Alligator mississippiensis: one gene and its partner. The protein of the gene in region 1 interacts with the protein of each later gene in a biochemical or structural test. Links are inferred from orthologs where the notes say so. Each region holds a gene or a part of one and is shown in the gene's direction. Other genes may lie near its edges.

Region 1 (15,029 bases):
TTTTCCTGTCAAGATTCAACAGTTTTGTCAAGGATCAATAGCTTCAGGGTCTTACATACACACTGTGCTCCTGCCAGTTTGTGGTAGGATGTACAATCAGATGATGATGATGCATTCCACAGAAAGGCACATCTTTCTTTGCTCTGCCCTGTGCCCCTTCTGCAGAAAGAGTTTTTCTCTTCTCATGAGTTTATGAAGGTAGGCAACATTCCCAGGAGGGAGGAAGAGAGAGAGCATGTACATTAGGTCATGAAATAAAGACAGCAAGCAAAGGAAACATGAAATTGTGGGGCGGGGGGTCGAATGTGCTCATTGTAACAAAGGGAGAAAGAAAAACCTGGAGCAGTCACTGCCTAAGCAGAAAGCACTGCAGGATTGTTTGCAGGAGATTTTACAAAATCAGTCTTTCCACCATGCTTTTTTGCAGTCTGCACATATTTGATATGCTTTGCACTTCTAAAGTGATGTAGTGAATGGACTGTGGCTCTGGGATACAGCTGGGCTCTACTGAATGGAATCAGAAGGGCTCAGATGTGTCAGAGGCTCTCCCCTACTAAGATGTAACAGTGACATTCTTCCATGTTGATATCTATGTCTTAGGATATCAGCCTCAGGACAAATGAAGTTCTTCTGCTGATACCTTTAGATTCTAAATTAATATGGTGGATAGTATAATAACAACTGTTCCATTACTAGCTAGGTACAGGTTAGTAATGCTTAAAATGGCTTAATTATCACAGCATTTGTGAGAGGTAGGGAAGTATTGTTAAGCCTCCAAGTCTCACTGATTTGGGATGGGGATGCCATCATTCAATCAGCTTTTAAAATCTTTTTCGTAAAATAAAAACAATTATAATCTTATAACTAGAGGCTTAGAGACCTCCCTGGGCATGAAAAAAACCCAACACATGTACATATAAGCCCCCCCCCCCCCCCCCACGCACTCATTCAGTCAAATGAATACAGTCAAATAACATGCACTTTAATGCAGCTAAATACAAGATAATGGATTTGGCATCCAGGGTAAATTTACAGGATGGAAGACTGTCTCAGAAAGCAGTGACTCAGTGAGGGACTTAGAGGTCATTAGGGATAAATGCCTCCATGTGCCTCCCTTGTGTAAAACTATAGCAAAACAGACTAATCCAATGCTTATTTATAAAAGGAGACTATCCAAGAGCAGGGAAGTGATTTTGCCTCTGTGCAAATGCTTGAATGCTGTGCCTATATCTGGTGTTCACATGGCTAGAAAGGGATAAAAATACTGGAAGAAGTTCAAAGGAGAGCCACAAGCATGAGATCTAAGCACTGAAAAGCAATCTTTGTCGTGTGAGTCTGAAGTGGCTCAATTTATTCAGCTCATTGAACAGAAACTGAGAAGTGACTTGATTGCTATGTAGGGATACTTGAACATAAAGATGTTTGGTAGTGGGGTGCCTTTTTCTGATATCCTGACATGACTGTAACAAGATCCTGTGGATGGAAATTGAAAACAGATAAATTCCACTTTGAAATAAGACACAGCTTCCAGGGAACGGGAGTCATGACACACTGGAATATCTCATTAGAAGAGATGGTGGCCTCACCAGCACTTGGCTTCTATAGGGTGGATGGATATATCATTTTGAAAGATATGCTCTAATTTGGCTTTTAGAATAAATTCTTCAGTCTGTGTGGAGTGTATGGGCCTAAGTAGGATGGAAAATGATGTTGATCACTTCAGCAGCCACTGAAAGTTGTGGATAGCAATCTCCCTGTTTATAACCTTCTTTAATGGGTCCTGGAATGACTGGGTTTGTCTACATTGGTTTCAACATGCTCTTAACAATTGCAGTTCTGCATTAAGACAAGTACTTGAATAAAATCTCCTGCTTCAGGCAGTTGCCTCCAGGAGTCGAGAAGGATTTTTTTCTTGCATAATGCATAATATAATTGCTTTTTTTTTCTTTTCCTTCCTGCTTTCTTCTAAAGCATCAGATTGGCCACAGGTGTCAATAGGAAATAGGATGGGGTATCTTGGTCCTCTGAAGCAGTATAGAAAATCCTTTCGGGTCCTGGGACGTAAGTCTTGTTCATATAAGGTGTATCATACTGATTACAAGCAATCCTTGGATTTACGACACAATTGGGTCCTGAAAACTGCATCTTAAGTCAAAACATTGCAACTTGGAACTGATTTTCCCATAGGAAACAATGTTGTGAATGGGGGATTGGTTCCTGAACCAAGGCCCGATACCCTACTTTCACCAAAAATAACCCATAATTTTGTACTCAATTATAGATGAGTAATATAGCTACATTAATGTATTTATGTTGTAAATAGCAATCATATTGATTTGGAAGGACTTCCTTGAGGTGACTTAGCTGAACTTCTTGAAGGGCTCTCGGTTGGACTTTTTGAAGGGTTCTTGGCTGGAGTCTTCTCAGGAGTCTTGGCTGCAGGTTATTCTGGAGCCTTGTCTGCTTTCTTAAAGAAAGTGTCCAAGGAAGTTTGGACAGATGTTCTCCAGGGAGATGGGGGATGCAGAGGATCAAGCATTGTAAAGTCAAAACTGATGTCAGAAAGTTGAAACAGGTGTCAATTTATAAATGTAAGTGTGAAATGTTGTGATGCGAAACATTGTAATTCAAGGACTGCCTGTACTAGGTTCAGGTTGAGAGGGAGTTTCTGTTCTCTTGAGGTCAGGTTGGTATGGTCCTCATCTTTCTCTACTGGGAACCTCTGAGCATGTCTCATCTAATCAGTTACTTGTTAGTGCAGGACTTCAGGGAGTGGCACTTTGGTCATTCCTGTACTCTGCTTGTGGCACACCTTATAGGTTTTGTGTGCACTGGACTATTTAGTATCGTTTACACTGCAGATTTCATTTTGGGTGTTTGAGTGAAGCCGGCTGGTTTATGACATGGAGAAGGACTAACAGGATGATCTGATGCTGTGTTCTGCCCTTCTATACGTCTGGGAAACCACACTTGAACTGATCAACACAATTTGGAGCATGGTTATGAGAATCAGGTAAACAGAAATACAGATATCTCCTACCTGACCTTCTAAGTCACTGCAGGCTGCATGTATTTCATGATGCTGGCCAACACACCCAGCAGTAGCTGTACAGATAGGTTTTGCTCCCCAAATGTAAAACATGAGTAAAACCCCTGCCTGTGTTAGCTCTCCCTTGTCTCCATGAAAACATGAAGAGTAAAACCCCCACCCTTGTGTCAGCACTTCCTCAATGCCATGAAAACAGGAACAGTAAAACCCCTGTCAGCTTTCCCTCTGCCATGAAAACATGAAAGCGAAAACCTGTGCCCTTGTGTCAGCTCTTCCTCAATGCCACAAAAACATGAAGGGTAGAACCCCCGCCCTTGTGTCAGCTCTTCCTTAATGCCAGGAAAACAGGGAGGGTAAAACCCAGGTCCTTGCGTCAGCTCCTCTTCAGTGCCACGAAAACGTGAAAGGTAAAACCTGTGCCCTCGTGTCAGCGCTTCCTTCATGCCAGGAAAACGGGGAGGGCAGACCTGGTGCCCTTGTCAGCTCTTCCTCAAAGCCAGCGAAACATGAGGCGTAAAACCCCCAGCCGTGTGTCAGCTCTCCTCAGTGGCATCCCTATTGTGCAGCTGGGCAGAGGGGAAAGTGGGGACCAAGCGGGGGGTGAACACGGCCTCGCCCCTGCCGAGGGGGCTGGCGGTTGTGGGAGGGAGGCCGAGGGGCCCGGCTGCACGGGGACACCCTCTCCTCGGGCAGCCTGGCTGCGGGCACCGGGGCGGCGGAGGCGCAGGGCTCGGCCCTCGCCCCTCGTGCAGCGCCGCGCGGGGCGGCCCCGGCGGGTGACGCGGGCGGGCGCGGGGCGGGGCGGCAGCGAGAGGCGGGGGCGGCGCGGGGACGGGCTCCGCCGGCGGCTGCGGAGCCCGAGCAGCGGCAGGAGGAAGATGGTGGAGCTGGGGCCGGCGCTGGAGGCAGCAGCAGCAGCAGCCGCCGCCGAAGTGCCGGCGTGTGCCCAGGCTCGCGGCTCCCGCCTGCAGCCGCCCTGCCCCACCGCGGCCTGCTGAAGCGGCCCGCCAACCCGGTGAGGAGCAGGACAGCCGGGGGTGGCTGCACCGCGGTGCGTGCGGGGCCGGAGGAGGAAGCGGGCGGGATTGCATCCGCCCCCGGCTAGGGCTGCGCCTGCCGGGGATGCTGCGGCGGGGGAAGCAGCGGCCAGGCTTGGGCAGCGGGGGAGGGGAGGCGGATGGGCGGCCGCCTCCTGCGCTGCAACGCAAGAGACCGAGCCAGGCTCGCCCCATCCTCGCCCTGCTCCGCACCGGCACCGGCGCCGGGTCCTGCCATGTGGGGGTTGGGGCTGCCGCAGGGAGCACGTGGTGCTGGCCTGACAGGAGCGGGCTGGGAGGAGGGCATCTCTTCCTACAGCTTGGGCTGCCCGTCCCCCCTGGATGGTTTTTTTTTTTTATGTTGTTCAAGGCCACATCGTTTCCAGATCCAATTGGGCAGAGCCCGAGAGTCAAGTTCCCAAATTCACCTGGGCAGAGCTCGATCGGCAAGTCTGCGTGTGGCTCTACCCCCTCCCAAACCATCCCTCTGGGCTTCGGGGACTCCCCAGACCCAGGCAGGCAATCTTATGTGCAAGCCCTAGGCCTGGAGGCCTTGGGGTTCGTGTGTCCCCGCCCCCAGTTTCACTTGATCCTTGCCAAAAGGCCGAGGCAGTCGGGGTTTGCAAAGAGGTGCCAGGGAGCCCTCCTCCATCCGCCTTGCTGCCTCCCTGCACTTCCCCCCTCTGCTCTCCACCCCTGCGCTGGGAGAGGGACCAGCGGCTGCTGCTGTCACTGTCTGCCAGCAGATTTAGGAACTGCTATTCTTCCCTACCCCCCACCCCAGCCACATCTGCACAGCGCTGTGGGGCCCTTCCATTCAGTTACTGCAGCCCTCTGTGTTTCACTTTTCCCAGAGCTCGGTCTTGTGGGGCGCAGTTCCCCAAGGCTTGTTTTTCTGTCAGCCTGTGTGGAAATCTGCATGGGAGAGAGAGGCCAGGATGGAGGCCTGTGTCTTTGGAAGCGTGATGTTTCGTCGTTTTGCTTCCTTGTGGCTTTATGGCGCTGAAGGATTATGGCTCACTTCACAAGGTGTGCCATAGATCTCTGGCTGTTGTCATAGCTGCCCAGGAACTAAAGCAGTGGGACTAGAAGGCGCGGATGTTTTTCTGACTGCAGGCATTAAGGATGAGCTAACATGGGGCAAATCAGGCATATGGTGTGGATTTCTATCTGCACTGTACATTTACCTTATGCCAGGTGCCAGGAGCCCATCCTACAATCAGTGTTTTGATACCTCTTTGTTAGCATGGATCAGAGGGTCCCAACCAACCTGTTCTGGAAAATATTCCAGTCACAGTACTTTAAATTCTACTGCATTGCTGTCAAAATCTGAACTGGCTGCCCCTGTCTTTGCAGCCTGTGGCTGCCATACCTCCAGAAACAAATACGCAACACATCGTCACCTTTGTTGTTTGGAAAATAAAGGTGGAATATCTTTGTCGCTATTGCAGTGGAGGGATTTAGAAATATTTAGGGGTGAGGTCAGTTGTACCTTTAAATCTATCAGTCATTTTAGAAACTTCTAGTGTCCAAAGTCTACTTATCATTTTAATTTTCTTTTCTTTTTTTTCTACTGTTGCATCATAGACATCTGCAAACCAGACAGTGCAAAGCACAGCTTTTATTTTTGGTTTCTATACTCTTTAGTTATGATCCAAAGTTGTGACAAATTGTGCTTTGAGTAATTATGCAAGATTTAGGGGTAGATTTACATAAATGGAAACATTTAAATCTTAAATCTGTGTTCATGTGTTGGCTTTTTTGGAACTGTCATCTAAAATACAGACTAGTTAGTTTTCTCCTTTTAAAAGCTCTTCCTTGCCAATTAAGAGTGAGCAAGCAGTTACCAGTTTTTAAAGCACCGCTATCAGCTGGTGATATTGTTGGAATGTATATGCTGAAAAGTTGAGTGTCCAGTAAATTGTAATGCACTGACATAGGTAGTTGTAAATTGTGGTAAATTGATCATTTTTCCTGCACTTTGAGAAGTTTTGATGCATTTCTAATTATACAATATAAAATGTATAGAAAGCTTAGTTGAAAGAGAGAATATCTGACTTGTTTAGATTGGAAAAATGGTTAACAATTGGAAATAGTGTGGATTAAAAAGTGGATATAAGCTTTACATTTGAACAGATTCATTAAATGATGGGCAGACAAGGCTTGGGGTACAGCACAAAAACTATAATTCACTGGACTAAGTTATTGTCCTTTTCTCTTGTAGCTTGCAGCAATGCATTTGTTTTGCACTAATGCGTTGTCTTTGCTTAAAATAGCAGTAATGTTTTCAGACTATTATTCTGTGTTCTATCAGATGCAAAGGCCAGCCTTTTAGAAGCCTATTAAAGAAGAGATATTCATAGATTGACCCTTTGGTTATAAAGTGAAAGATGCCAACAGAAGTACATTTTATTAGAAGGCCCTAGTTAGCTAGGAAAGAGCTGTTCTCTTGAGGGGGCAAGGTCTGTGGAGAAAGCAGAAATGCTTTCCAGGCATCCTTTTTCAGTTTCACAATTACTTAACTTCAAAGTATTGTTTATTATATTAGTGACATTTTTTTTTTTCAAATATCTATCTAGGTTTTGTCATTCCTCACCTTTCAGGAGGCACTGGGAGAGATCTGCTTCTAAAAACGTTCCTTGCACATGTGCACACACACTCCGATGTGTAATAGCTTGGAAGCTGTCATCACATTCAATAGCATCACAAAATGTAATGGTATAATGGACATGCTGTCGTGTTGGAAATCCCTAGCCTCCATGGAACCAAAGAAGAAAATTCTGGCAGGTTCAGTTCATTCTCCTGAGACTGATATATTCAGTTACATGCAGTTAGGTGGATACAGTTTTGGGGTATAAAACTGTAAACGTAAAGGTCTTGTTTGCTTTGTGTTACTATGAAAGATTGTGTAACACCTTCAGTTAAGAAAGGCTTATACTTCATTTCCTCAGTTTAAAATGTGTGAGAACTGAGTGAACATAGCAGTAACCGGGAACCTATTTTTTCTCTACATACTGTTAAATTAGGACCCATTGTCTTTAATGGGACAAGTAATGGGATCTATAATTTTCTAACACCACCTCTTGTATGTTGTTGTATAGCCTAAAATAATGTATACCTCTAACAATGCAATACATTTTAAACAAGATTTTGACCTAAAGAAAAGCTGGCAGCTTGAAAATTTTGCTGTGTTTCAAAATGCTTTTATCTGACAGTTTTAAAGATAAGACCTAACTAAGCATTCTAGAATTGCTAGAGATGAGAGGGGAAAAAAAATCTCTGCACTCACTACCTGTTCTTTCCTGTTCATTTACTAGGTGCGTTTGTGTATAGCATTTTGAGTATAGACAGTTTCACTGTTTTAGTCCATGTGGGTCTTTAAGAAAGCATTATGACAGATAAAATCAAAGTGTGGTAGTTAGTCTGAAGTCAGGAAGAAGGCAGAGCATATTTATACCTGATATGCTATACATCTCTGATTTAGTTAGTCTAAGTTTTTGTAAGCAGGGAGCTTACTTCATCAGGTAAAATTGGGAAACTGTGATTTTAAAACCACAAAAATTGACAGACGACAAATCACCTAATCCAGTGCACTATACTACTGCATAAACGAAAGGGTAGATTTAGGACATGAAATGAATTCTTACTTTTTATTTTAAAGTGAGTATAGATTGCAAGGTTTCAGTGTCCCTCCACAATGAAAAAACCAAGAAAATCAAAATGAAGGCTGAAGCTTTCAACCCACATTTAGATATCACAGACCAGACTCTTTCCTTTAGCTATGATGTTTATTGCTATAATGGAGTTACTCCTGATTTACACTGGGTTATATGAAAGAAGAATTGTACTGTCAATCAGTGAATGATTTTACATATACTTTATGCTGAAGAGTGAAGGGCCACCATTCATTAGCTAATTAAGTGAGATGTACGTCTGAATAGGATCCTGTTCATATACCTAGAAGTCAGACTTCTAATATTACAGGAGTGCATTTTTGGTTGTTTTTATTATTGAATAAAAGTGGCAAGTCTTCTAATTACTATGAGCTATTCTCATCTGAAGTAGAACAAATAAATGTAGATTGGATTGGGTTGGGGGTGTTTGAAAACAAAGGATTGATTAATTTTGCTTCATAGTATTGAATTGGTAAGCCTGCTGCTCAGAGCAGTGCAGTAGTTCTCACTGACTAAAAATGTGCTTTTCTACAGAAGTGCATTTTTGTGTTGTTTTACCAGAAGGGGCTGGGAACATTCTTTGTGTGCTGCTTCCAAAATAGATATTTAGCATTTTCACTTTCTATTTCTTTATTCATTTATTTATACATGATGTTGTTCTTATTCTAAACATAAGCTTCATATATCTTAATGAAAAATCACCCAGATCACCTTGCTACCTATACAGACATAGTGCCTACAGAACATTTTCCACCACTTTGTCCAGACTACCTTCAAATGTCTTGAAAGAAATGGTTTCCCCTACAATTCTTGAAGGAAATTTCTGTCCTTGAATAGATCTCACTTTAAGTAAGCTTTCCCCTAATCATCAGTGGGATTTTATGCCATAGAAAGGGGACTGACAAGAGGGGGAATAATAACCATCTCATAGCAAAAGAAAAAGGGAAAATTTGAAAATAAGATGGCAAATTAAAAACTGATAGAAGGAGATACTTAGATGCACAGTGGGCATGTCTACACCTGCATTTGCACTGGCTTAAATTCAGTGCGCAGTAAGTTAAAGTGCATGTGTTAAAGCACATTAGTGTTATGTGTGCACTGACATGAGACTGACATTGGTCCCAAGTCAGGCCACACAAGGTAGTGTTACTCCGCCATAAGGTGTCTATACGTACATTACTGTGCAGTCATTAATTGGGCATAAATTTGATACTTCTATGATGCAGGTCAAATTTACGTTCAAGTAGGTATAAGTTGCCGTATTTACTGTGCAGTATAGGCAGGCACATGTAGATGCATGCCCATACTGCACAGTAATTTCGGTTACTGTGCAGTATATGCACACACGTAGATGTTCCCACTATGTAATTAAACTGTAGAACTCACTGCCAAGAGCTGAAACCAAAAGACTTACATGAGGATTCAGAATGAGGCTGCTCATTACTATGGATAATTTGAGTATCCAAAATTAAAGCCTATTTATATTTTGGAAGAAATATTAAATCTCATGATTAATATCTTAAAACCAGTTCCTAACTACTGGGGATTAGGAGGATGTGTGTGTGTGGGTATAGGTGGATCTAGAATTTTGAAAAGAGGGGTGTAGATGGTGAGGTGCACCATCACCTATAAAACAACACATTCTTCTCCAGTTAAAAATAAATGAGAAGCTTTGCTAATATGCTAGGGTCCCAGGGCTATATTATTCAGTTTAAGACTGAAGCAAAAACAAATATAACTTAATTGAAATGTGTTAAAAACCAAGCTGCAGGCCTGTGAAATAGAAGCTTCATCACCAAGAGCAGCTAACAGACAGCAGAACTGCAGAACAAAGGATAGTTTGGTGGAACATCAAGACCATTTAAAAGGAGAGAGAGTCGTAAACACCTGTGGAAGGAAGAGTTTAGAAGGTATTAGGTAGATTACAATGAGCCATGAAATCATCTGACTCCCTCAGCACTGCCTGACTAGAAATGCTGCTGCCATTGCCTAGCAGCTGGTTTTAAATTTTGGGTGGAGTAAGAATCAAAGGAGGGGGGAGGTGCAAGTGCACCCCTGCTGGATCTGTCCCTGTGCGGGAGGACCAACTTTATCCCACATCTGTCTAATGTGAGTCTTATTCCACATGTCTCTGAATCTAGGAACTGTCCAGCACAGATGACTAGAAGGTAACCTTTGATTCTGGCTCAGTATAGTGATCTTGGAGTACTGAGAAGGGAAGTTTAGGTTAGATATTAGGAAAAACTTTCTCACAAGGAGGGTAGTAAAGCACTGGAATAGGCTACTTGGAGAGATGGTAGAATCTCCATCCCTAGAGGTTTTTAAGATTCAGATAGACAGCCTTGGCTGGGATGATATAGTTAGGATGGTCCTGAGCAGAGGGTTGGACTAGATGATCTCATTGTCGATGATTCTATGCTATGTCCAGTTTGGGGCCCCACACTTCAAGAAAGCTGTGGACAGATTGGAGAGAGCTCAGCAGAGAGCAGCAAAAATAATTAGAGGCCCAGGAAGCATGACTTATGAGGAAAGGCTGAACAAACTAGGGTTATTTAATTTAGAGAAGAGAAGATGGAGGAGGGATTTGATAACCATCTTCAAATACCTGTGGGGCAATATATAGATGAGCTTTTTTTCCATAGCCAGGACTAGGAGCCAGTGGACCCAAGCTGCAGCAAAGGAAATTTAGGTTGGAGAATAGGAGAAACTTTCTGATTATGAGGGTGGTCAAGCATTGGAACAGGCTGCTTAGAGAGATTTTGGAATCTCCATCCCTGGGAGCAGGCTGAGCAGACATTTGGCTGAGATTGCTTAGTCAGGGATGATCCTGCCTTGAGTAGGGGGATGAATAAAATGACTTTGTGAGGTCCTTTCCAGCCTTACTTTCTTATGATTCCTATGATCCGTATATTTCTAAGAAATGATTTTGCTGATTACATATAATTTCTCACCTATTCGCTATCATTTTGTTAGTTTCATGCACTGAACTAAGTGATTTATTCTACTTGATGCTGGCACCTTAGAGGATGGTTTAGGGCTCTAGATTCAAAAGTCAAAGCAGCTGAGTCGTCTTCAGGAGGTCTGCTGCTTTTACATTATGACTTTTGCCTCTTCAAAGAATTGAACCATAAAAATAATCTTCTGAACTTCTATAGCATCTTTTTTATCAACCAAAAGCTTCCTTGTTAGACTTGCTATTCAGACTTGCAACTCTTAAAATTGGGAAGCAAATCCGGAAAATAGTTAAGATAGCAGAGCTACGAAGTCCGAGAAACCCAGTTATCTGTCACCTGGATAAGAATGGCAATTCCCTTAAATTTGACTCTAGTAACAAGGAAGTTTTCAGTACTCAAAATGCCTCTTCATTTTTTTTAGATGAGTTTTATTTTGTAGTTAGGGACACTGAACTGAAGCTAGATTCAGTTCCCAGGTCTTCTGTAGACTCCCTGTGTAAATCTGGAAAATTACTCTCTGGGCAAATCTACACAAGATGTTTACTGCATAGTTGACTAATTATAATTAATTGCTCAGTATACATCTCCATGTCTACATGTGTGCCCCTATTAGGGGGTGAAGGAAACTAATAAACTCCGCAGCAGGGTAGTACTTGTAAATACAAGTATTACCCTGCTGCAGAGTTGTTTTGTGTGCAGCAGCGTATGTGTAGATGCTGGCTGGGGCACGAAGGTGCTTTAGTACTGGGGCTGCCTGCCAGCTAGCCCCACACTGAAGCACCTTCATGCCCCAGCCAGTCCCTCTGCAGCACATTGAACCATCCCCAGGCTGGTAGGGGGACCCCTGTGGGGTCCAAAAGGTGCTGCAGTTTATTGCTGCCCCTGATAGTATGTGTAGATGTGCCCTCTGACTTCTTATTTGCATTTTTACAGGTGCACAGGTGGAGAGAAAGGAAGCAGTAGTTAAATGTCTCTGGTCTATTTAATAGAGCTAGTAAAAAATCTTTTATCAAAAGTTTTCTTAACGGGAAATGCCTTTTCATGAAAATTGGTTGAATCTTTTGTACTAACACCTAACTTCATCAGCAAGGAAGAAAAATAAATGTGTGTAGTGGGGGATGGGCAAGACAAGTCAACACATCCCAAAGTCTAATAACTAATCACCAATATCTAAAAGAATTCAAAATAACAAGTGGATGCTTGTTTGCAATACTCAAGAGGGGAGAAAAAGCAAATAATTCAATTTTTAGAAAAAATTGAAATCTGTTTCTTAAAAAAATTATTTTGTTTTTTCAACTAATATATTTTAAAATCCGAACTGTAAACAAAGCATGTTGTATTTTTTCTTTCTAGCATTCATCTTCACTAGCTAATGGATGAGAGAGTACAACTTACTCAACATGACTGTAAACAGTGTATTTTTTGCTAATATATTTTTAAAATATACCTTTTACCCTAGTTTAAACAACTCTTTTGATGATAATAAAATCAGAAGCTGCATATGGAACTCTGGGATATTTTTAAAGAATGGAAAAGCCTGAACCAATTATCTTTTTTCCTGAGTGGAATCCGAGATGACTTGCTCTAGGGTTATAGGTTGTAGCCATGTTGGTCTAAGGACATAGGCAGACAAGGTTTTTTGGGTAAATCTGATATCTTTTATTAGACCAACTCAAATAGTTGGAAAAATTCTTCTTTGCAAGCTTTTGGGTGTAAATATCCTCAGCCTGACAAAGGGTATTTATACCCAAAAGCTTGCAAAGAAGAATTTTTCCAACTATATGAGTTGATCTAATAAAAGATATCAGATTTACCCAAATGACTTGCTCAACATTTTTTTTTAAGTTTTCAAAATACAGTCCAACAGGTCCTGATGTAGCTTCAAATTAACCTTTGGTTATCTGCCTAAAGAATTTTAAAGACATGGGGCGCATCCAGATGAGTGCAATCATGCAGTATGTGGTGCTGCAAACACGTTTGCAACACCACATACCACACAGTTCGGAGTTCTCCACCGTGCAAGGGCACACTGCCCGAGCATGTGCTGCTCCATTTTTGGTTTTTTCCCACAGGTTTTTTTGACCCCGGATATCCAGAAGTAAAAAAAACAAACAAACAAAAAACCGTGGAAAAAACCCCAAAGCAGCACATGCTTGGGCAGCATGCACTGCTAAAGAGCGGAGCCGGGCTGCCCAGAGCCATGCTGTGGCTGCTGGCTAGGCTCTGCCCAGCATGATCACTGTGGCTGCAGATCCGGGAGGTCCCCAGATCCCCAGGTAAGACTGCTGGGCCTAGCACAGTGCTGGCTCCAGCCTCTCCTATGCCACCCAGGGCCACTTGCCATGCTCCAAAGCGCGTGTGGCATGGGCGTTCCTCAGGGACAAGAAGCAGTGGCTCAAGTTGTGCCGTCATTATTTGTCCCCAGGGAACCAAATGTCCATGCACATCTGGATGTGCCTATGCAGTTTACTTAACCAGCTACTATTGTTGAGAAGAAGGGTAGGAGGCAGACAGCATACTTACTCAGAAGGAAAAATGATTGCTTCCCCAGGAATCTTCTAACCATTGTACAGTAGTTGGGAACTTCATTCGGTTTAGAAGGCAAGTAATCAAAGAGTAGAGTAGTAACATATCCTTTTAGCCCCAGTTACCCTAACAAGCTTTAAAGAAATACCAAGTTTTGCATACTGAAGAAGTGCTGAAATATTAAGATATGTAAGGTTAGAGAAACTCAAGTAGAAAAGGAGTCTGAAGGTTATTTTTTGTTATTAAATTAATGGTTGTTTGCAATTAAAATGGAAGTGCTATTTGTTCAATGAAAGATTTAAGGAATTTATTTTCCTGCTTTTTATGGTATGCATTTAGTTTCGGGGATTATGTTTTACTTCATAAGAACCTCTTCAGTAATTTTTATAGCGTCTGATGAGGTCGTCCCACTGCTTACAAAAGTTTACGCTGTATGTCTCTGATTTAGTTAGTAAATATGGTACAAATCTATCCTGCCTTCTCTCATGGTCATAACTGAGTCCCTATAGTCTGTGTATTAAATAAGAAAGTCTATACAACATAATATTTTAATTCTTTTTATGTAACTCAAACACTCTAAACATTCTTAATATCTTCTCCTTCCCTTAGTGTCCTGTCCTGATGTTCCCAGCTATGATACTTCTCCTTCACTGTCATAGCTAAGCACAGCTAAACTCAGGTTTCTGCTCTCACTCAAGGAGGCATTACCTTGCTGATAGTGATAAGTGACTAACATACACCACTTAAAAGGTTATGGTGACACAATTCAGTTTGTTTAATATTAAATAAAATTAACCATAACAAGGTGAGCTAATTTTATAGTTCTTAAAAAGCTTTCTATTCTAGAAGTATACTGAGTTTAAAAAAAAACAACAATGAAGCTATTTGCTACCTTGCTACATTACTTTTCTAACAACATTCAATTAATTGCTTATGATAGACTGTTAGTATATATTATAGTTATTACTGAACTAATATTATTTAGGTTTCAACTTTATTATGTCTTTAGCCATGACCTTACAATAATTAAATGCTGTCTTTGCACTCAGTGGGTGCATTTACACAAGGCATTTACTGTGCAGAAGACTAATTAACTGCACAGTAAATGTCTTAACATCTACACATGCGCCCTAAGAGGGACGCATGAAACTAATAAACTCTGCAGTAGTGTATTTTTGTAAAATACAGGTACTACCCTGCTCCAGAGACTTTTTCATGTGCAGGAGCGCACACGTAGCTGCTGCCCGACTGGTTGGGGCACCCCCATCTCCACGTGCTGCTAAGTGGCTGCCTGGAGCACAGGGTTTCTCAGCACAGGGGCTGCTAGCCCCGTGCTGAGGCACGCTGCACCCCAGCTGGCCAAGACAACATCTTCACATGTGCTACTGTGCACCAAAAAACTCTGGAGCAATAACCTCTTGAGTTTAGTCTTGCACATTCATTACATGTGTAGATGGGCCCAGTATGTAGTTTAAATATGCAAAAAAAATACTGTTTAACTTGAAAAAGCTTGACATTAATTATTTGTGTGCTATAATGATAACTACCTGCAGTTTCATTATCACTGTAAATTGACTGAAATCACCAATTTTAATAATGATTGAAATCAGCAAGCAGGTAACATTAATTGAAATAATAGATTTTATTCTTGTTTTTCCATTTATACTTTTAAGTTCCTTTCCTAAATAAAGGTTCATTCTCATTGTTTGGTAACCATTAGACTTGTTAATTTGTAACTACTTATAGCCTTTATACACATCTGACACCAACTGGGGTACTTCAATTATCA
Region 2 (15,159 bases), about 15 Mb from region 1:
TCTGAAGTCTAGCACTTCTGCCCTGCTGGTTACTTTTTCCACCCTTTGCCAGATAGTGAATTAAATCAGTTGATGGTCACTATCCCCTAGGTTGCCTTGTACCTGCAGATCTCCCACCAGATTGTCCCCTGTAGCCAACACCAAGTCCAGCAAGATGTTCCCCCTAGTGGGTAGTTTAGGTCACCCATGACAACCATATCTGTACGGTCATACAGCCTCTGAGAGCTGCCTGGAGAATTTCAGGTCTATAGTAGACCCCCACTACTAAGTCCCTTTCTCCTTGACCCCCTTGTATCATAACCCATAGTACCTCAGTTTGGCCCTCCTCTGATCCCATCTTGATTATAGAAGATGTATATTGTTCCTTAACATAGAGAGCAACCCCCCCCCCCGCTTTTCTCCACTCTATCCTGTCTGTGAAACCTATAACCTTCAATGCCTACTGCCAAACCATGAGTAGGGTCCCACCAGGTTTCAGTTAGCCCAACAAAGTTGAAGTTATTGCTTGCAAGCAGGAGTGCAATTCCTCCTGTTTGTTCCCCTTGCTCCTACCATTAGTGTACAGACATTTAAGCCCCCCAATGGGTGCCCTTGGTACCCCCTTGTCTTGATGTTTATCGGGCTCCTTAGTGCTTACCTGAGCTGATCCATCTCAGCTTGTGGTTCTCTCAACCTAGGTTCTCATTGTCCACTGCATCCCTATCCCACGATGAACCTAGTTTAAAGTCCTTTGAGGGAGATCGGCCAACCTGTAAGAGAACAGACTCTTACCTTTAGAAGAAAGATGAAGTCCATCTTGTTCCAGGATACCTCTCTCATGGAAGTGCAGATCATGGTTGTAGAAGCCAAAACTCGCATGATGGCACCAACCGTGGAGCTGCAGTTTGACTGGGAGGATTGATGAGAAGACCACCTGTGCCCCTGACTTCCTAAGCCTGGCCCCCAGAGCCTTGTAGTCACTCATGATATGGTCTGGACTACTCCTGGCTGCATCATTTGTGCCTACATGGATGAGGACCATGGGATAGTAATTGGAGGGGCAGATGAGGTCAGGAATTCTCACAGTGATGTCTCTGTCGCAGAGCACTTAGGTACCCTGCTCCTTTTAAAGAGGGGGAACTGCTAGGGAAAGAGCCCTAGCAGTGAGTAAGGAGCCCCAGCTGCTGGTTACCAGGGCAACCGGAGTTAGCTAGTGACCCACACCTGCTAGTGGTCAGCTGACCAGAAGGGGCAGGGCCTGGCTCCCATATAAACTCCAGGGCTGAGGCCAGGGGACAGTTCCCTGCTGGCAGCCAAGGAGGAAGGAGCTCTGCCGGAGCAAGCAAAGGGGAGAGGCCTGACTGCATAAGTAGCTCCTGATACTGGTGAGGGATGGAGCACCCCTGGGGTGGCTTGAATGATGTTATAGCCGGGAGGCTTGAATTTATGTTATAGCCCAGGGGCTTGTGTTTTCTGTTTGCTGCTTAAGACCGGTGGTTTGGGTGAGGCTATTAAGGGAAGAAGGAGGCCTCATAGGGAACCCATGACAGTGCAGGGACCCTGGCGCCAGAAAGGGCGCAGCATTGGGGATGCACCGACCCCAGCACCAGAGAAGGCACAGCATTGGCTGTGTACCAACCCTGGTGCCAGAGAGGGAACAGCATTGGGGGCGCACCAACTCTGAGCACCAGAGAGGGCACAGGATTTTGGGGGTGCACCGGCCCAGAGTGCCAGGGAGGGCGTAGCATTCGGGGTGCACCAGCCCTGAGTGCTAGTGAGGGCGCAGTGCGAGACAGGGCCGCGGAGTGCCCAGGGAGGACAAGGGAACCAAATTATAATAAGTCCCAGATCGAACAACGTTGGTTCCATCTGCATGGCTTGGGGTGTGGTAAAGGGGCAGTTGGAGCCATGCATAGCCCATAAGGCTAGGGTGCCCCAAAACACCCATTGTAGAATGGGACCCACAAGGAGTTAAGGAATCCACGGGGTCAGTGAGTACAGCAGAACCGTGTCCAAAATGATGTAAAGGCAGCCTCCCTATTATCTTTACAATCAAAGAAGTGGTGGACGAGAATTGAGGGTGCCCTTTGGGCCAACTTGGCATGGTAAGGGGGCTTTGGGGAGATCACGGCCATCCTACAGGACCCTGTGCCATGACAGTCTTGGATCCTGGCACTGGGCAGGAAGGAAATCTCCCACGCCATGGGATCTGGTCAACAAATAGGCCCCTCTGTGCCTCTCAGGAGGGAGTTGCTCACCACAATGACCCAACGTGTCTTCTTCCAGTTGCCCACTTGTTGCTTAGCCTGCATGGTTGTTGTGGGTGTGTCTTCCCCTGAGACTTCCTCTGCTGCATCATCCTTCAGTGCTGCCAAGGGTTTATATCTGTTCCCTAGTTGCGCTGGGGAAGCAGTCACAGCTGCATGCTGTCTGACTCTGGAGGTGACCGTCTTCTATTCGGCTGCCTTGGTTCCTCTCATGGTGTCTCTGTACTAGGTGTCTTGTCCAACAGAGAATGAAAGTACCCTTCAATTTCATCCTCTGCAGCCCTGATCCCCTGCAGCCTGCTTACCTCATCCTGGAGTTCCCTCACCTGCCCCTCCAGAGCCTCAATCCAGGTACATGTGGGACAGGCGAGGGGACCCCCAGCCCCCACACTGCCCCCGGGCCCCAGAGGTCCTGCCAGGCAACTCCCACAGACTGAGGGGCAAGGCACTGCTGACCCAGCCAAGGGCTCTGTCTGGGTGGAGGCCCCACAGGAGATCTGGGGCTGAGGCAGCAGCAGCAGGGCAGGATCTACATCTATAATTGTGGATATATAATATTTATATATAATATTTAACCATTGACTGACAAAGGCAAAGTGCCAAAATAGTCCACAAGCAGGTAGCTTGTTAATTTTGCTTCCAACATAGTTATGGTAATTTACATATCCATTCCCTTATTCCCATTATGCATCCTATGTTTGCCATCACGGTCAACAACACTATCCTTCAAAATCATATTTTGTGAGGAATGACATAGTTCTTAAAGGTTAAGGCTAAAATTATATTTGAGAGAGAGAGGAAATTCACATCTCATATTCAGCCTTCTCATCTTTAAAGAGGAATTAGGTACTCGTTACACAAAGTAGAATGTCTTATCAATAAACATTACAACAATGTACATGTTAAAAATATTGATCAGCCAAATCATGGTGTGGAGCCTGTGTCTAGCTCCGCCTGGCCTATCGGGGTGTTTCCCCTCCCCTCAACTCGCCTGCCACGACTTGGATGTAATCAATTACCTTTAGAGGGGTCTACAGTGGAGATCTTTATCCTGGGTGGGGCTTCCCGATAGATGGTGTTACTCACGGTTGAGTGACGCGGTGGTTCACGGGGCTCCGCCTCCCCTACACCCCGTCCACACGCCAACCGCTGGGTGATGTGTTCCAGATGTTTCCAGGCCCTGTATGACGGCCTCAGACCGGGTCCCCGGTTCCCGGTCGTTCTCCCTCCTGCTGGGAGCGATTCCTCCTTCCTCCCTTCTTACAGAAAATACTCCTCCAAATCAGGAGGAGCTGGTGGGTGCTCCCCCTGTTTCCAGCTCCCTCCTGGAGCCTCCGCTCTCTCCCCTCTCCTACCAGCAGCAGAGCACTCCCCTGCCGCCTGAGCGTCAGCTGCTTCAGGATACTGAGAGAGTGCCTCGGCTTGCACTCTCTGACCGCCTTTCACTCTGCTGTTCGTGAAAGGCGTACAGCTCTTAGATAAGCTGCCTGCTTGAGACCCACAGGCTGGGTCCTCTCCGCTCTGTGCGAGAGCCCGCAGCACAGGCTGCCCGCCCGTACTCTCTCTCCCTGGCTCCCCTTCTTTCCCTGTCCTGCCGGTGTTTTTAAACCTTCCCGCCGCGGCTGCTACGGCCGCTGGGATTGGCTCAACTGTTCGCCGCGCAGGGAACAGCTGTTGCCAGAACCGGCGCGGTTCACGTGGATGTGGCTCCTCTTCCCGCTGCTCTTCAGCCAGTACGTATGCCCCTCTGGGGGCTTGCTCTCGGGGTCTGGGGTCTGTGGGTCCTCCCTTCTCTCCCTCACTAGCCTGTGGGGGCACTTCGCTGCCACAGACCTCCCCGCTTAAGTTGCCTTGTGGCGGCTGATTTTCTCTCGTGACGGCATGTGTCACCTGCTCCTCCCTATGGATGTGGCCCGCACCTTCCTCTGCGTCGTCTGCGCCTCCCCACCTGGACAAGAAGTCAGCCACAAAGTTATCTCGGCCTGGGCGGTGTATCACCATGAATTTGAATGGCTATAAAGCCAAAGCCCAGCGGGTGATCCTGGTGTTCATGCTTTGTTTCTGTGTCAACCACTGTAGTGGTGCGTGGTCTGTTACTACCACGAATTCCCTCCCCATCAGGTAGTACTTAAAATATTCTATTGCCCAGCGTATTGCCAGGCACTCCCTCTCGATGGTGGCATACCTGGTTTCTGCATGACTGAGTTTCCTGCTGGCAAAGGCAATTGGGCGCTCCTCTTGCCCGTGTTTCTGTAGTAACACTGCTCCCAGCGCCCATCCTGATGCATCCGTCTGTAAAAAGAAAGCTCTTTCGCATCCCCGGTGTCCATTTCAGTGGCGTCACAGATTTCCCAGCTAATGCGTCTAAGTGGTGTGGCAAGCGACGCGAAGCAGGGTATAAATCGCCGATAATAGTTAACGAGTCCCAAGAAGGAACGCAGTTGTTTACGGGTTCGCGGTTCCTGGAACTGCCTTATAGCCTCAATCTTATCTGTGAGTGGCCGAACTGTCCCTCGGCCTACTCAAAATCCTAGGTATGCTGTTTCTTTCCCCACTAGTTTACATTTCTTCGGGTTGGCGGTCAGCCTTGCTGCTCAGAGTTCCCCCAGGACTGCTCTGAGGTCTTGGAGGTGTTGTTGCCAGCTGGCAGAAAATATAATGATGTCATCAATGTATGCCGCCGCGTATGCTGCGTGGGGTGCCAATAGGTTGTCCATCAACCTCTGAAATGTCGCAGCTTTTCCGTTGAGGCTGAAGGGCAGCCGCGTAAATTCGAATAGGCCCCATGGGGTCCTGAAGGCTGTTTTGGCGCAATCCGTGGGGCGCATCGGGATCTGCCAATATCCCTTTGCCAAATTAAGCGTGGTTATATACTGTGCTTCACCGATTTTCTCAATGAGGTGAGTGACATGGGGCATCGGAAAGGCATCAAACGTAGTCAGGGCATTGAGCTTCCTGTAGTCTATACATATGCGCAATGACCCATCCGGTTTGATGACAGGGACTATGGGGCTCCGCCATGGGCTGTGGGACAGTCGTATAATCCCTTGTTCTTGCATTCTCCTGATCTCTTGCCGTATTTCCTGTTGCCACCGCTGAGGTATCGGCCTCCATCTCTCCCTCACCAGTGCTCCCTGAGGGGTCCTGATTTCATGTTCTACTCCCGTTACTCGTCCCAGGATCTCTTGGAACACTGCCCTAAATTCCTCTATCAAAGCTAGCAATTCTTGCTGTTGGTGATTGCCCAACTCCTTACCCATCTGTACTGCTCCCTCCTTCCTGGGTCTCCCTAACCCATGACACAGCGGTCCCAGGTTCTCCTTTGTATCCTCGTCTAGGGCCAACCAGCCCTGAGGTGTTTTCCACTCCTTGAGCAGATTCACGTGGTAAATCTGTCATTCCCGGCGGTGACCTGGTTTAAGTAATTCATAATCCATGGGCCCTACTTGTCTCGCCACGGTAAATGGCCCCTGCCACATGGCCAGCTGTTTGCTGGAGGAAGTCGGCAGCGATACCAAAACTTTGTCCCCCGACTGGAACGTCCGTGTTTTCACCTTCTGATTGTAACGCCTTTCCTGTATGCCTTGGGCGTCCCTCAGGTTTTGCCTGGTGATCCGTTGGGCCGTGGAGATTCGGTCTTGTAGCTCTTCCCGGTACCTCTCCGCTGACACCCCCAAGCCTATTGGCCTCTCCCATTCTTCCCTTACGATTTGTAGCAGTCCCCAAGGGCTATGGCCATACACCAACTGAAATAGGGAGTACTGGGTTGACGCTTGTGGAGCGTCCCTTATGGCGAACAACAAGGGTGTCAAGATAGTATCCCACCTCCGCGGGTCTTCCTGGGCACACCGCCTGAGCATCCGCTTGATGGTCCCATTTAACCTTTCTACCAAACCGTTAGTTTGGGGATGGTAGACCGAGGTCTTTAGATGGGTGATGCCGAGGGTTTTACATAAAGCTTTCATTACCCCAGACATAAAGTTTGTTCCCTGGTCTGTGAGTATCTCCTCAGGTATGCCCACCCGTGCTATCCACTTAAGAAGTTCTTCCACTACTCGAGTGGCGGTTATGGACCTTAGGGGCACGGCGTCTGGGAAACGGGTGGCATAATCTACCATCACCAGGATATATTGGTATCCATTATGAGACCTGGGGAGGGGTCCTACTATATCCAGAGCGACCCGCGAGAACGGTGTCTCTACTATTGGCATGGGCTTCAGGGGTGCCCTTGGGGGCTTCCATTCCTGGGCCCTCTGACACTCTGGGCATGCGGCCCCCCACCTTTCCACATCCTCTTGGAGACGAGGCCAAAAGAATTCTTGGGCCAGCCTCGCCCGGGTCTTGTTACGTCCCAGATGGCCACCCAGGGGTGAGTCATGGGCTAGTCTCCACACCACTTTGTGAAGTGAGGTCGGGACCACTAATTGTCTCCCCCGTATGGTACCGTCCTCACCCCGTTGGACCCGATATAATAGCCCCCCTGTTACCTCGAAGCCGGGACGCCTCTGTGAGGGTCCTTCCCCGGAGTCGGCGTCCCACATCCACTGCAGTTCCGGGTCCTCATGTTGTGCCCTATGAAATTGGGCTGCACTCACGAACTGTTCTAGGTTAATGTCGTCTGTCATTGTTTCGTTGCGACGGGCTGGGCCGTCGCTGGCCCATCCGTCGCCCCTCTTGATCCGGTTCCTCTCCTCCTGCGTAGCCCTCACTTGCTCGAGGACTGTATAGAATGGCCCCCATTCTTGGCCTAGTATCATCTCACATGCCAGGGTCGGGGCAATTCTAACTCGTAGCTCTCTGCTAAACTCCATCACCCTAAGCAGAACATAGCAAGTCTGGAACTGCATCTCCCCCCCTAGTATGCAGGTCATCGTCAGGGGCCCCTCACTCTTCCGTTCCCTCTGCAGAGTGAGGTCTGCCCGAAGTAGGGAGTGGGAACACCCCGTGTCCAATGTGGCCTTAACCGCCCTGTCTCCAATCCATGCAGTTACTACGGGCCGGTTCCATCCCTCGTTCTGGGTTGCCAACCCGAAACTGCAATCCATGGGTTCCCCTCTCTCCGCCTCTTTGCCTCTATTCTGGGAGGGTGGATATCCTGTTGGGGTGTGACTCAGCTCGCTCAGGCCTTCCCCACATACACAGGAGATGTGTCCGGTTTGCCCACAGCGGTAACACACCACCCCTTTCGGTGGCCCTCGTCTCGAGACCGTTCGCCTTTCCCCTTCGCTTGTGGGTCCCTCTTTCATGCCTCGGGAGCCTCGTCCGTATACCCGTTCCCTTTCCGAATTCGCAAAGGCCTCCGCCAAATGAAGTGCCTCTTCACTAGTTTGCGGCTGGTGTCTGCATACCCACCTCTGGGCATCCTCTTCCAAATCCTATATGAATTGTTCTAACAGGATCTGGTCCATCACGCCCACCCAGTCGAACTTGCTGGCTGGCAACCATTTGTTGAGTGAGTCCCTTAAAGCTTGCAACAACCCCCGGGGTCGCCTGGCCTCCTTGGACTTTCGGGCTCTAAAGGCCTGCCGATGACTTTCCGGTGAAATCTCAAGCCTGTAGAGGATTGCTGCTTTCACTGTCTCGTAATCACGAGCTTCATCCCTTGATAGCGCTCGGTAGGCCGCTTGGGCCTGATCTATCACCAGCGCCCCCAGGTGGTGGCCCCACTGACCACGGTCCAACCCTGTCTGGATGGCTGTCCTCTCGAATGCCTCGATACAAGATATGGGTCATCCTCCCTAGTCATCCTGGGCATTTTAAATAAAGTGGCATTTCGCTGTATCCACTCCTCCTGGTGTGCGCCCTGTTGTTGCTGCACTGCCAGCACCTGCCCTATGGCCTGGATTGCCTGCATAAGCAGCTCCGTGGGCGCAAGGACTGGCTGCTGCATCACTATCGGGTCCCGGGTCGGGACACTGTCCCGTTAACACCGTACGAGAATGGCGCCGCCTTCCCGGCCAATGCACCACTGTGAAGCCTGTGTCTAGCTCCGCCTGGCCTATCGGGGTGTTGCCCCTCCCCTCAACTCGCCTGCCACGACTTGGATGTAATCAATTACCTTTAGAGGGGTCTACAGTGGAGATCTTTATCCTGGGTGGGGCTTCCCGATAGACGGTGTTACTCACGGTTGAGTGACACGGTGGTCCACGGGGCTCCGCCTCCCCTACACCCCGTCCACACGCCAACCACTGGGTGATGTGTTCCAGATGTTTCCAGGCCCTGTATGACGGCCTCAGACTGGGTCCCCGGTTCCCGGTCGTTCTCCCTCCTGCTGGGAGTGATTCCTCCTTCCTCCCTTCTTACAGAAAATACTCCTCCAAATCAGGAGGAGCTGGTGGGTGCTCCCCCTGGTTCCAGCTCCCTCCTGGAGCCTTCGCTCTCTCCCCTCTCCTACCGGCAACAGAGCGCTCCCCTCCCTCCTGAGCGTCAGCCGCTTCAGGATACTGAGAGAGTGCCTCGGCTCGCACTCTCTGACCGCCTTTCACTCTGCTGTTCGCGAAAGGCGTACAGCTCTTAGATAAGCTGCCTGCTTGAGACCCACAGGCTGGGTCCTCTCCGCTCTGTGCGAGAGCCCACAACATGGACTGCCCGCCCGTACTCTCTCTCCCTGGCTCCCCCTCTCTCCCTGTCCTGCCGGCGTTTTTAAACCTTCCCGCTGCGGCCACTACAGCCGCTGGGATTGGCTCAGCTGTTCACCGCGCCGGGAACAGCTGTTGCCAGAACCTGCGTAATGGCGGTTCGCGTGGTTGCAGCCGCGGATGCGGCTCCTCTTCCCGCTGCTCTTCAGCCGGTACGTATGCCCCTCTGGGGGCTTGCTCTCGGGGTCTGGGGTCTGTGGGTCCTCCCTTCTCTCCCTCACTAGCCTGTGGGGGCACTTCGCCGCCAGACATAGATTTAAAAAAAAATCAATAGGTGCTCAGAATTTATTCTTAAATTTACCTCAGAAAATAAATGTGATTGAAGTGGATAAATGTTTCCTATCTTTAATTCCTATCTTTACTATTGAAATTGTACCAGTTCTTTCTGGAAATTACTTTGGTTTATATTGAATTGTCTGTAGTTTTTATTGCATTATGGAAAAGTAGCTCCAATTTATTTTGTGGCCTGTTTTCCTTTTCTTTTTTTTTTCTTTTTTTTTTTTGTATAAATTTCTTATCCATCTTTGCTAAATGTAGTTATATACATAACATTACAAGTACTACTGTAAATTAGCGTTTTGAATTCAGTAAAAAGACTATATTAAAACAAGAACAACCATCATACAAAACAAGCTAGAACACAGCAGGAGGAAATACAAGTGAAACATCTTTTTTTTTTTTTTAAATTAGCTTTGCCTAAAATAATCATCCCAGTTTTGGAATTTATAATGAGATATTGTACACAGGCCTACATGCACAGTGTGTACTACACATCATTTTTAGGTGCTAAACACTTCCTTTCTTGCCGAATTCTTGAGTAGAGTTTGTTTCCAGTAGGATCTTTTGTTAGCATATTGTGGAAGGTTGATTCATTACTGGACTAGTATTGGTGATTTAATTTTTGTATGGAATTTCATCATTTCAAATTCTGAAAGCTTAAATATATAATTTAAAAAATAACCAGCAGTAAGTTTATAGGTAGTTTCATGTATATTTATGTACTTCAAAACCTGAGAAAACACAGTTTTAATCTAAAGCAATGGAATTTTGTATTTCCCTTGATATATATAAACCTTTTTTAAATGATTAAATTTTCCAGCTTTGTAACAGTAATGACCTATAATTTTGAATAAACATGAGCAGTTAAATGAAATGATTGTTTTATGTTAATTACTTTGGCTCGGTCCCAATATTTTAGGGTACTACTGTTATGTAAATTTAAACAACTTTTAGCTAACAATTACATTAACCAACAACACGAATAGTGTAATCATACCTCATTGAATTAAACTAGAAAATAATTGCCAGTGAATTAAATTAAAAGTTGGGTCTTATTTGACTTTAAGTCTCATAAGGTAACACTATCATGACACATTTTGCCTTATTATTTGTCTTATTGCTTTGATATTAAATACCAGTAGGCTTTCTGAAGTTAGTTGCAAATTTTATTATTTTTTCAAAATTAAATCTTAAAGTTCAATAATTACTATAAAAATTGTTATTTAATTTGTTAGAATTTTTTCAAACTTGTTCTTCTTTCATGTGCATTTTCCCTAATATTTAGTATTTATTATATGAAAATTGATTAGAAAAAACTTAAGATTTTTTTTTTTTGGTGAGGGTGCATTTTAAGGGGCAGGACAGGGAACAAATGACCTGCAATAAAATCTCATGGGAAAGTGAAAAGTTAATTGCTGATATACCACCAAATCAGAAGTGGGAGGACTTCTAATTTTTTTTTTTTTTTTTTTTTTTTGGCTGATGCTCTGTGAACCTTCTACCCAAAGGCCCAGGATTTTAGGACCTTGTAAAATAAGTAACACAAAACTAATACATAAGCAGTCTAAACTGTAGGATTTGAAAGATCTGAATCTTGATATAGCTCTCCTCCTACCTTGAATTGTGCTCTTAATATTTAAGACACTTTTATCATATTCTATCAGCCACCACACACACAAGTTTAAAAATATATGTTGTTGCTACATCCTACCATCCCCTAAATATTCCTTGCCTTCTTGACCCTCTCCATTATAATAAAGCATTATTTTACTTTATGTAACTGCTAAAGTAACAAACAACTCTCATGGTGAGACTATGAATAACAGAGATTTACCTTGTGTAATTTTTTATATGTTTCTATGCAGTAAGAGAACAAGATAAACATTGAACTGACTGACTGGTACCAAGATTCTTTTGTACAGTTGAAATTCTCCTCAAAATGAAGAATAATGAAAGGTTATCTGACTTCTTTAATGCCTTTAAAGATCATAAATGTATGTCTCAGACATAGAGGGCACATCTACATGTGCAATTAGTGCAGCTGAATACATTCCACAATTTGTGCTGGAGTTTATTGCTCCTGGATGCAGTGTTGATATTTTCTCCCAGGACCACAGCAGATTGAACTAGGACAGCACAGCCCTGCCTGGCAGGGGGCCCAAGGGATCATTCTGCCAGTGTGGAGCTGCTCTGCCCTGGCTCAACATGCTCTAGAGGAGCTGGCTGGGGCACGAGGGTGGTAGAGTGCAGGGCTAGCCAGCAATCAGGCTCCGGACTGTAGCACCCACATGCCCCAACCAACCCTGGTCACCATCTCTGTATCCTTTGTGACGCACTAAATAACTCCACTGTAGGATAGTATTTGTGTTGGGCGGTACTAGCCTATGGTGGAGTTAGTTTACTCCAGCCTAATAGTGCTGCATGTGTAGACAGTGATGCTTTACTGTGGAGCTAATTAGTCAACTTCGCAGTAAAGAACATGTAAAGTCTCCAAAGGGTCTCTGTGTTGATTATGAGCAAGTTAATATGAATGTGACCAGTGATAGGGGCAGGGGAAGCAGCTACTAGTTTGGGTGCTGAGGACAGAGGTATGACTGGCCAGTTCTGTGGCCTGGGAAATGCAGTACATGGTGAAGGGGCCAGAGCCAGAGATTTGCTGCTGTGGGAGGAGACGTCACCACCTTTTTTTTTTTTTTTTTTTCCTGCTGATGTGTGAATTGGCAGTTTAAATGCTGATTCTTGGTGGCAAAAAAAGGTGAGGCATTCTCTGTGACATTTCCCCCCTGCAGCACTTTTTTTTTGCCAGCTGCTGCTCCTGCACCATGCACTGTTGCCATTCAAATTCTATTTTCCCCTTATGAAGACTTGAATTCATGTCTGTCACAGATTTTCTCTCTGATGTCAGAATGCTCTTTTAGGCTGTGTGCCTCAGTTTCTCCATCTGTAAAATGGGAATATTTCTCTGGTGTGTTATAAGGACAAAAGATAGTCATACATCCAGATGCTCTGGTGTTAGGGAGGAAGAAGAGCTCAGTGGTAAATGAGCTAGCCTTGAACCTGGAAGATCTGTCTTGCCCTGATAGCCTGCATGACTGAACATAGGGTCACTAAGTCTCCATTTCTGGGACCAATGTACTAAGTGTCCACATCTAGATTTCATAGACATTAGGGCTGGAAGGGACCTTGAAGATCATCAAGTCCAGCCCCCTGCCCAGGGGCAGGAAGTCAGCTTGGGTCAAAGGATCCCAGCCAGATAAGCATCCAAACATTTCTTGAATGAGTCCAGACTAGGTGCCAGCACCAGTTCTGGAGGGAGTCTATTCCAGGCCTTGGGCACTTGGACAGGAAAGAAGTTTTTCCTTATGTCCAGCCTAAAACAGTCTTGGAGGAGTTTATGCCCATTGGTCCTTGTTATCCCTCAGGGTACTATGGAGAACAGACATTCCCCCAGATCCTGTTGCACACCCCTTATGTACTTATAGGCAGCCACCAGGTCCCCCCCTAAGCCTATGCTTTTCCAGGCTGAAGAGTCCCATGGCTCTCAGCCTGTCTTCATAAGGCCTGTTCTCTTGCCCTGTGATCATGTGCGTGGCTCTCCTCTAGACTCTTTCAAGCTTCTCAACATCTTTCTTTAATTGTAGAGCCCAGAATTGGATGCAGTACTCCAGCTGCGGCCTCACCAAGTCCGTGTACAGAGGGAGGATGACAGTGGGAGATGAGCGTGGCCATGCAGTATGGGGTGCCACAGACACATCTGCAGTGCCACATACCACACATTCAGCTGTTCTCTGAGCTGCAAGGTAGCAGTACATGGGGTTTTTTTTTTTACCTTTGGATATCCAGAGGTAAAAAAAACGCACACAAAAAAAAGTGCAGTGGCACACACAGGGGCACCACATGCCGCTCAACTGGAGCCACACTCCGGCTGCAGGCCAGGCTCTGAGCAGCAGGATTTCTACTGCTGAAGCCCCAGGAGGCCCCCAGGACCCCGGGTAAGGCTGCTGGGCACAGACCACTGCTGTCTTCAGCCTCCCCTACCCCACCAATGGTAACTTTTAGCACACCAGAGGGTGCATGGTACAAGTGTTCCCTCAAGACCACTAGCAGCAAGTATGCCACTGCTAGTTGTCCCTGGGGAACCAAAAGTCCATGCTCATGTGGATACAGCCAATGTGTTCATCTGGGGTTCTACCTGATCACTTGTAATCTGCAACTTCTTTGATGCCATTATCATGTTGGTGCGATGAACACAAAATGAATGAATGACTCTGGCAACCGTTACCATATGATTCTCTAAGGCAGGCATATGTTCAGTTGAGTTTTGGGGATATGTAGCAGAGTTTAGTTCTCTTTTAAGGAGTGCATTGGAGCATCAAGCCAAAGCAGTCAAGACTGGGACTGGGCAGTATAAAGGAACTGAAGCAAATGAAGGACCAGAAGTGTTTCTGGTTGCTGCGGGTTTTAGATCTCTCTCTGGCTTTAGGATACTAAGCCAGAACTGGCCTCAGGATTTTTATTTTCTGGCTATAAGTTTGGTTGCTCTAGGCATGTCTACACGAGACATTTACTGTGCAGTTGACTAATTAACTGTGCAATAAATGTCTCAGCATCTATACGTGTGTCCCATATTAGAGTGCATGAAACTCACAAATTCCCCAGCATCATACTATTTGTAATACAGGTGCAGGGTAGTACTTGTAAATACAAATACTACCCTGCTGCAGAGTGTTTTTGTGCACAGCAGCACATGTATAGATGCTGATTGGCTGACTGGGGCATGAGGGTGCTTCAGTGCTGGGGCTACCTGCTGGCTAGCCCCATGCTGAAGCACCCTTGTGCTCCAGTCAGCCCCACCACAGCACATTGAGCCCAGTCAGAGCAGCCCAGAGGTGGCAGACTGGCCCTATGAGGCCGTCTGCCAGCTTAGGCTGCTGCAACCCAGCTCAATGTGCTTCTGTCTGGGTACACATGCAGATGTGTGCCCTGGAGCTTCCTGGGAGCAGTAAACTATGGAGCAATAATCTCTGCAGTTTGTTGTTGCCCCCTAATGTGTAGATATGCCCTCTGACTCAGACTCTGGGGTAAGAGCTTTATTAAATATATTAGGCTGCTTCTCCTCCAGCTTGCCATCTATGGACCTCTTAGACCTTTGAGAGACCTTTTCTGCTTCCTAAAACATTAACATGACTAAAAGTTTTGCTGTGGTTATTTTAGAAGCCTTCATAAAATTGGCAGCATTGATTCTGGACATACCCCCGTGTTGATTCCTGTTCCATAGTATGTCTTAATATGAAGTTGTACAACTTCACAATAGAAATGGCACGTGCGGCCCAAGGTACTACTTATCTACAAGAGATTTTTTAAGACAGCAGGCTGCTAAATTCTGATCTCAGTTATATAAAGTAAACTTTCCTTGAGGTTAAGAGACTTTCCCAGCCCTGTAACTGAAACAACATTCTTGTCTAACTGATGTATTGTAAGTAAGGGTAGGTTTTTGGTTTGGGGACTTTAGAAGGCCAAGGATTGGTACTGAAAAACAGCCCTTCTAGTTAAGTTGACAGGGTACAGCTGAAATTTATAAGTGTTCTAACAGCTTAGATGACAGCTGCCAGGTGCTGCTTCCATTCCTTTCCCCATGAAAATGGATGTTGGATCTGCAAAAGTGTAAGGAAAGTACTTTAAATAATCATCTGAAGTGAATGATGAAGAGAATGTGGGCTGTAATGGGAGCTCAGGTAGCTGCCTTGACTCCATTCATAAATTAAAGAATGTAAGTATTGAGCTGATCAGTCATCTCTTCTGGGATCAGCTTTTTACTGTTTTTCCCCCTCTTCCTACATACCAATTTCATCTGTAATCTTTTATGGCAAAATTTGCTTACTGTACACTCAAGCAGTCCTACTGAAGTCCTTGAATTCTCTCTCACTACTTCTTCAGTGAATTTTCTTTCTGATTTTGACTTTTCTATGAGAAAATTCTGTCTTCTTTTTTTTTCA

What was found.
Region 2: the proteins of APBA1 (region 1) and CNTNAP4 form a complex in vitro, tested with the Homo sapiens proteins (2 studies listed by BioGRID and IntAct, with this or other methods). The link is inferred for Alligator mississippiensis from reciprocal best matches to the Homo sapiens genes APBA1 and CNTNAP4.

Annotation. Positions count from the first base shown.
Region 1 is NC_081826.1:193,877,169-193,892,197, reverse strand, and holds the start of APBA1 (amyloid-beta A4 precursor protein-binding family A member 1), read left to right. Parts: upstream 1-3,867; 5' UTR 3,868-4,064; intron 4,065-15,029. UniProt on the Homo sapiens protein: Putative function in synaptic vesicle exocytosis by binding to Munc18-1, an essential component of the synaptic vesicle exocytotic machinery. May modulate processing of the amyloid-beta precursor protein (APP) and hence formation of APP-beta.
Region 2 is NC_081826.1:208,856,939-208,872,097, reverse strand, and holds the start of CNTNAP4 (contactin-associated protein-like 4), read left to right. Parts: upstream 1-8,745; 5' UTR 8,746-8,825; coding exon 8,826-9,036; intron 9,037-15,159. UniProt on the Homo sapiens protein: Presynaptic protein involved in both dopaminergic synaptic transmission and GABAergic system, thereby participating in the structural maturation of inhibitory interneuron synapses.